2 linked regions of the Macaca fascicularis genome follow. Each later gene encodes a partner of the first gene's protein in a complex. Links are inferred from orthologs where the notes say so. Each region holds a gene or a part of one and is shown on either strand. Other genes may lie near its edges.

Region 1 (3,811 bases):
TCCTCCTTCTGGGCCTCAGTTGCTCCCTCTATAAAATAAGGAGGCTGACAACACTTGTTCTCTATTTACCCTCCAGTGAACCTTGCCTGTGTCTCCTAAAAGAGCTGTGCAGCTTGAATTCCTCTAACAGCCGGGATGGGGGTTCCCCCAGAGCAAATGCACCTCAGGCTCCATTTCCATGGGCAGCAGAGCCAGGGCCTGTCACAGCACGATGTGACCCTTTCGTGGGTGGGGAGGTGGATGCCTGATGCTGACTTGCTTCTTTCCTTTCTGTCCTCCCTGCCTCCACCAGCGACCCAACTTTTGGCAAGAAGAGCTTTGAGCAGACCTTGACAGTGGAGCTCTGTGGCACGGCAGGTGAGCCAGGGGGCTTCCACTGGCAGGTGCCTTCAGGAAAACACCCGTACATCTCTGAGTTTTTCATCATGCATGGGCAAGGTGCCACGTAATGAACAATGCACAAGATGCCTGCCTTCATGGGGCTTATGTTATAGGCAGTCAAAAAACAAACAAAAAAGGAAGATCGTTACAAATTGCAATAGATACCATAAAGAAGACTCACTGGGAATGAACCAGGATTACAGGCATGAGCCACCGCGCCCAGCCCCGGTGGGCAGTTTTACCTGCGGTGCCTGCCCCCTGTCCGTCATGGGAAACACCAGAGGCATATGAGAGGTATAGTTGGGAGGGTTTGTTGAATGATTGGATGTAGATCAGGAAGAGGTATTTGGAAGATTGGGAGGTTCCAGCTGCCATTAGTAGGTCACAGAAGGGATGGCAAATGGATTTCATCACATGCCAACTCCAAAGAATTGAAGGATTCCCAGGCTACCTCCAGGCTCAGCCAGCAGTGCAGTGATCAGTTAGTGATGCCTGCCATCCACTGGGTTGGGGGAGTAAGGGCACTTGGCCATTTTATTGCCATCCCAAACTAGGGTCTTTTTAAAATTTTATTTTATTTTATTTTTTCGAGACATAGTCTCACTATGTTGCCCAGGCTGGAGTGCAGTGGCACAGTCTTGACTCACTGCAACTTCCTGCTCCTGGGTTCAAGCAATTCTCATGTCTCAGCCTCCAAAGTAGCTGGGATTATAGGCATGTACCAACAAGCCTGGTTAATTTTTTTGTATTTTTAGTAGAGACATGATTTCGCCATGTTGGCCAGGCTGGTCTTGAGCTCCTGGATTCAAGTGATCCACTCACCTCGCCCTCCCAAAATGTTGGGATTATAGGTGTGAGCTACCATGCTTGGCCCCAAACTTAGGGTCTCAGTGTCCCTTGGAGAAGTGATCTGTCTTTATCTTACCTTTCTCCTCTTGCTTGGGCAGGACTCACCCCACCCACCACACCACCGTACAAGCCCACAGAGGAGGATCCCTTCAAGCCGGACATCAAGCACAGCCTGGGCAAAGAAATAGCTCTCAACCTCCCCTCCCCTGAGGGCCTGTCACTCAAGGCCACCCCAGGGGCTGCCCATAAGCTGCCAAAGAAGCACCCGGAGCGGAGTGAGCTCCTGTCCCACCTGCGACATGCCACGGCCCAGCCAGCCTCCCAGGCTGGCCAGAAGCGTCCCTTCTCCTGTTCCTTTGGAGACCATGACTACTGCCAGGTGCTCCGACCAGAGGGCATCCTGCAAAGGAAGGTGCTGAGGTCCTGGGAGCCGTCTGGGGTTCACCTTGAGGACTGGCCCCAGCAGGGTGCCCCTCGGGCTGAGGCGCAGTCCCCTGGCAGGGAGGAAGACAGAAGCTGTGGTGCTGGCGCCCCACCCAAGGACAGCATGCTGCTGAGAGACCATGAGATCCGAGCCAGCCTCACCAAACACTTTGGGCTGCTGGAGACCGCCCTGGAGGAGGAAGAACTGGCCTCCTGCAAGAGCCCAGAGTATGACACTGTCTTTGAAGACAGCAGCAGCAGCAGTGGCGAGAGCAGCTTCCTCCCAGAGGAGGAAGAGGAAGAAGGGGAGGAGGAGGAGGAGGACAATGAAGAAGAGGACTCAGGGGTTAGCCCCACTTGCTCTGACCACTGCCCCTACCAGAGCCCACCAAGCAAGGCCAGCCGGCAGCTCTGTTCCCGCAGCCGCTCAAGCTCTGGCTCCTCATCCTGCCACTCCTGGTCACCAGCCACTCGGAGGAACTTCAGGTATGAACAGGGGGCCGCAGGAGAGGCAGCGGGCAGTGGAGGACCCCAGTTCCCAGGGAACCAGGAGCCCCAGGCGGGAGGATCCCCGGGAAACTTGCTCTGAAACTGAGGCTGCATTTCCCTGTGTGGCCCATGTCCTGGTCAGAGGCCTTGAAGGTGGTCTTCTGGGGCAGTTGTGGGTGAGTCCTGGAGGCAGGCAAAGCCTGGTGTGTGAAATCGGGAGTGTCCCAAATATCCTGGCCTCTAGAAAGAAAGAAAACCCACTTCCTGGCTGTTTGTGGGCTTATGTCTAAAGGAACTTGTCCCTTACCCATCTGTGTTTTTTGCTTTTATATTTGTAAAATGGATAGGTTTTTGTGCAAACATACATGCCCCAACATTTGAATTCTGGAGATGTTTACATGTAAAAGAAAGATGAGTGTAATTCTAATCTGTGCTCCGGAAAATGCCTGGACAATAAAGCATTGATAAGGTTTCTGGGTCCTGCTGAGGTGCGCCGTGGCTTTCACCAGTCGGCTGCCCCTTGAAGGGCTTTGACCTCAGTGGAGGGATGATGCCTCATGAGCCCGCTTGCTCGTATCATCCTCGCTCGCTCAACCAGACTGGAGAAGAAGCCAGTCCAAAAGTCAGCTGGGGAGCTGGCCAGAAAAAAAATGGAGGTTTGGCAGAGTCGGAGGGTACTGGTCGCTTCTCTATGATCACAGTGGGTCCTGATTCTCCCTGGGGAAGGCTTGAGGAGGGTCAGTGTCGTCATCCCCAGCCCTGTGTTGAGGTGAGGCCAAGTGGCCACTAGATGCTGCTCTTGGGCTAGAGCCCAGCTGCAGAACCCGCTGCAGGATTTGTTGGGCCTCCACTGGCCGGCCCACACGGCCCACACCCGGGTATCTGATCTGTAGGTCTGGGGTGGGGCAGGGGCAGGGATTGGCGTTTCCAACAAGTCCCCAGGTGATGCTGATGACATTGCTAGAATATCATACTCTGAGACCAGAATTTAGGTCTTGTGAAGATACTTCTTCCCTTCTAAAGGGACTAGCAAAAAAAAAAAAAAATTTTTTTTGTTAAATAAAAATGTAAAAAGACTACAGCTTTATACACATCGACAACAAGGGCTTTTAACTGTTTGAAAACCTGATTAAAGCAAAGGCCCATCTTCCCATTAAAATGTGCATACACATCTAACTGGGCATTCAATTTTAGGGGGTTTGTGGGCTCTCCACAAACTATTATTAAGAAGCCCTAAATTTTTTGTTCCTCAAAGGGAGGTCTGCAGCAATTTCTCCAGTGAGCCCTTACTGTAGAAGCCAAGATTAGTCAGTCACAGCTGCCTTCTGCCGACTGTGCTGAGCCTCTCTTTCTGGCTCCGTTCTTTCCCCAGGGGGTAGCTTCTGCCCTACAGTGTTCCAATGTCAAAGGTTTGGCTTCAACCTTGCTTTGCTGTGAGCTAAAGCACTCCATCTCCACATTAGGCAGTGTCCCAGGTTCTCTTCATGTTGAAATACATCCCCCAAGCTGGAGCTTCCCTGGCCTCCTTTCTCTCCTGCCCGGCTCAGAGGTGTTTGGACTGGGCCTGCATTCATAGAATTGCCTGGGAAGAGTCGAGAACTTCTCAGAAACCCCCATGGATTTTCCTTTTTCTTTTCTCACTTTTGGGCCAGGTTCAGGGCTGACTTTG
Region 2 (3,811 bases), on another chromosome or scaffold:
TCTCTCTCTTTCTTGCATTCTTGTCTCACTCTGTCACCCAGGCTGGAGTGCAGTGGCACAATCTCGGCTCACTGCAACCTCCACCTCCCGGGTTCAAGCCATTCTGCTGCCTCAGCTTCCCGAGTAGCTGGGACTACAGGCACGCATCACCATACCTGGCTAATTTTTTTGTATTTTTAGTAGAGATGACGTTTCGCTATGTGGGCTGGTCTCAAACTCCTGACCTCATGATCCACCCACTTCAGCTTCCCAAAGCGCTGAGATTACAGGCGTGAGCCACCATGCCCGGTCTCTCTTTCTTTTTCTTTCTTTCCTTCGTTCTTTCTTTTTCTCTTTCTCTCTTTCTCTCTTTCTTTTTCTATTCTATTCTATTCTATTCTATTCTATTCTATTCTATTCTATTCTATTCTACTCTACTCTTTTTTTAGATGGAGGTCTCACTGTGACACCCAGGCTGGAGTACAGTGGCAGCACAATCTCAGCTCCCTGCAGCCTCAGCCTCCCAGGGCTCAGGTGATCCTCCCACCTCAGCTTCCCAAGCAGCTGGGATTAGAGGTGCACACTGCCATGCCCAGCAAATTTATGTATTTTTTGTAAAGACAGGGTTTGACCATGTTGCCCAGGCTGGTCTCAAACTCCTGAGCTCAAGTGATCTGCCGACCTCAGCCTCCTAAAGTGCTGGGATGACAGGCATGACCCACCGTACCCAGACCACTGTTACATTTTCGTATGAATAGTCTCACCACATCAAAAAACCCCATGCTTCACCTATTCGACCCTGCCTCTCCCACCCCTAGCCAGCTCAGAAATGGTTCTTTTTACCGTTGCTATAATTTTGCCTTTTCCAGAATGCCATGAATTTGAAGTCATATAGTATGTAGCCTTTTCAGACTGATTTCTTTTATAACAATATGCATTTAAGAGTCATTCATGTCTTTCCATGGCTTGATACCTAATTTCTTTTTACACTGAATGAAGTCCCACTGTCTGTTTGTACCACAGTTTGTATATCTATTCACCTATTTAAGGGCATCTTGGTTGCTTCCAATTTTTGGCAATTAAGAATAAAGCTGGCCGGGCGCAGTGGCTCACACCTATAATCCCAGCACTTTGGGAGGCCAAGGGGGGCAGATCACTTGAGGTCAGGAGTTTGAGACCAGCCTGGCCAACATGGTAAAACCCTGTCTCTACTAAAAATACAGAAATTAGCTGGGCATGGTGATGGGTGCCTGTAATCCCAGCTACTTGGAAGGCTGAGGCAGGAGAATCACTTAAACCTGGAGGCAGAGGTTGCAGTGAGCTGAAATTGTGCCACTGCACTCCAGCCTGGGTGACAGAGTGAGACTCTGTCTCAAAAAAAAAAAAAAAAAAAAAAAAAAAAAAAAAAAAAGCTGCTCTAAACTTGTGTAGGTTTTGTGTGGACAGAAGTTTCCAAATCAACTGGACAAATACCTACGAGTGTGATTCCATCATACAGTAAAACTGCTTTGCTTTGTCAGAGACTGCCAGAATGTCCTCCAAGGGGGCTGTCTCATGTTGCACTCCCACCAGCAATGAATGGGGGTTCCTGTTGCTCCACATCCTCACCAAATTTGATGATGTCAGTTTTGTGGATTTTGGTCATCCTAGTAGGTGTGTGGTGACACCACATTGTTGTTCTCATTCTCAATGCCCCAATGACATATGATGCTGAGCATCGTTTCATATGCTTACATGCCATCTGTATATCATCTTTGCTGAAGTGACTGTTCAGATCTTTTGCCCATTTTTTTTTTCCTTTTGAGACGTAGTCTTGCTCTGTCACCAGGTTGGAGTGCAGTGGCATGATCTCAGCTCACTGCAGCCTCCGCCTCCCGGGTTCAAGCGATTCACCTGCCTCAGCCTCCCAAGTAGCTGGGACTACAGGCGCACGACACCACGCCCGGCTAATTTTTGTTATTTTTAGTAGAGACGGGGTTTCACCGTGTTAGTCAGGATGGTCTCCATCTCCTGACTTCGTGACTGCCCACCTTGGCCTCCCAAAGTGCTGGGATTACAGGCGTGAGCCACCACACCTGGCCGCCACACGCAGCCCCCATTTTTCAATTGAGTTGTTTGTTTTCTTATTGTTGTTTTAAGACCTCTTTGTATATTACCACATGTGTATTGAAAATATTTTCTCCCAGTCTGTGGCTTGTCTTTAATTTTCTTAGCAATGTGTTTTGCAGAGCAGAAGGTTTAATTAGCTTTCATAAATTCCAACTTATATTTTCTCTTTCATGGATTATGCATTTGGTGTTACCCACACAGATTTTTATACTGTATTCTGGTGCCATTTACTGAGTTGGCAATTGTGGAAGAACTGGAAGGAAAGAAGCAAACAAAAAGAGTTCTGTGTGGCACTGTCAGCGCGGGGGCACGGGGAGTCCTGCAGGGTGAGGTATGGGCGAGATGGTCTGGTGATGTGTGCAGCGGAGATGTGCGGTCCCCGGATGTGCAGATCAGGAGATGTGTGGGTCTGATGTACCGGTCTGGAGAAGTGCGGTTCCCAAGATGTGCGGTCCGGAGATGTGCGGGTACCCAGAGGTGCAGATCGGAGATGTGGGGGTCCGGAGATATGCGGATCAGGAGATGTACCAGTCCCGAGATGTGCGGATCAGAGATGTAGAGGTCCCGAGATGTGTGGATCCGGAGAGGTGAGGGTCCCAAGATGTATGGAGCAGGAGTTGAGGGAGTCCGGAGATGTGCGGAGCGGAGATGGGGGGATCAGGAGATGTGGAGGGCCAGGAGATACGCGGGTCCGGAGATGCGCAGATCAGGAGATGGGCGAATCGGAGATACGTGGGTCCAGAAATGTGCGGAGCGGAGATGTGCGAATCAGGAGCTGTAGGGGGTCAGGAGATGCACGGGTCCAGAGATGCGGGGGTCCGGAGATAGTGGGTCTGGAGATATGCAGAACAGAGATGAGCAGATCGGAAATGCACGGGTCCAGAGATCCACGGGTCCAGAGATCTGCGGTTCCGGAGATGCACGGGTCCGGAGATGCGCAGGTCCGGAGATGAGAATCTGAAGATGTGTGGATGGGAGATGTGCAGGTCCGGAGATGCGCGGGGCGGCGATGCGCTGATTGGAGATGCTCGGATCAGAGATGCTCAGATCGAAGATGTCGGAATGAGGAGATGTGCAGGGCGGAGATGTGTGGATTGGAGACACTCGAGTCCGGAGATATGCGGGGCGGAGATGCGTGGGTCTAGGGATGCGTGATCTGAGATGTGTGGGTCCGGAGCTCGGGGTCAGCTCAGCAGCAGTCGGAGCGAGCATGCTGGCTTTGGGAGCACAGCACAACGGCAGCTGTAGGAGTGCAAGAGGGTGTGACCCAGAGGCAGGGCCCGGCCCTGCATGGGTATTCTGAGGTTTACGCCTCAGCATTAGATGCCTCATATGCTAAATCACATCCTCGTAGACCCGGTTCAGACACAGGATAGTGATGCCTGGACTATTCATCTGTCTCTCCTCTTTTTCCCCAGACACGCTTTCACCAGCTTCGAGCCCCTCCTCGGTGACTTATCCTGTGGTCCCCGGCAGCGTGGACGAGTCTCCCAGTGGAGCATTGAACATCGAATGTAGAATCTGCGGGGACAAGGCCTCAGGCTACCATTACGGAGTCCACGCGTGTGAAGGCTGCAAGGTAGAGGGGACCTGGAACAGGGCCCGGTGGCTGCCACCATCAACCACTTGTGGTTACTTTTATAGCAAATGGCAGTCATTACTGAGAGATTGCAGAAAGTCCCGGATAAGAAACTGACCTCAGGCCAGGCACGGTATCTCACAC

What was found.
Region 2: the proteins of PPARGC1B (region 1) and PPARA are in contact, whole or in part, in a crystal structure (PDB 3SP6), measured with the Homo sapiens proteins. The link is inferred for Macaca fascicularis from reciprocal best matches to the Homo sapiens genes PPARGC1B and PPARA. Residues at the interface, in NP_573570.3 of Homo sapiens: Ser154, Leu155, Leu156, Gln157, Leu159, Leu160, Leu161, Thr163; in NP_001001928.1 of Homo sapiens: Val284, Thr285, Thr288, Glu289, Lys292, Phe297, Leu302, Asn303, Gln305, Val306, Leu309, Pro458, Leu459, Glu462, Ile463.

The regions. Positions count from the first base shown.
Region 1 is NC_088380.1:156,714,263-156,718,073, forward strand, and holds part of PPARGC1B (peroxisome proliferator-activated receptor gamma coactivator 1-beta), read left to right. Parts: intron 1-292; coding exon 293-357; intron 358-1,328; coding exon 1,329-2,139; intron 2,140-3,811. UniProt on the Homo sapiens protein: Plays a role of stimulator of transcription factors and nuclear receptors activities. Activates transcriptional activity of estrogen receptor alpha, nuclear respiratory factor 1 (NRF1) and glucocorticoid receptor in the presence of glucocorticoids.
Region 2 is NC_088384.1:5,378,288-5,382,098, reverse strand, and holds part of PPARA (peroxisome proliferator-activated receptor alpha), read left to right. Parts: intron 1-3,506; coding exon 3,507-3,667; intron 3,668-3,811. UniProt on the Homo sapiens protein: Ligand-activated transcription factor. Key regulator of lipid metabolism. Activated by the endogenous ligand 1-palmitoyl-2-oleoyl-sn-glycerol-3-phosphocholine (16:0/18:1-GPC). Activated by oleylethanolamide, a naturally occurring lipid that regulates satiety.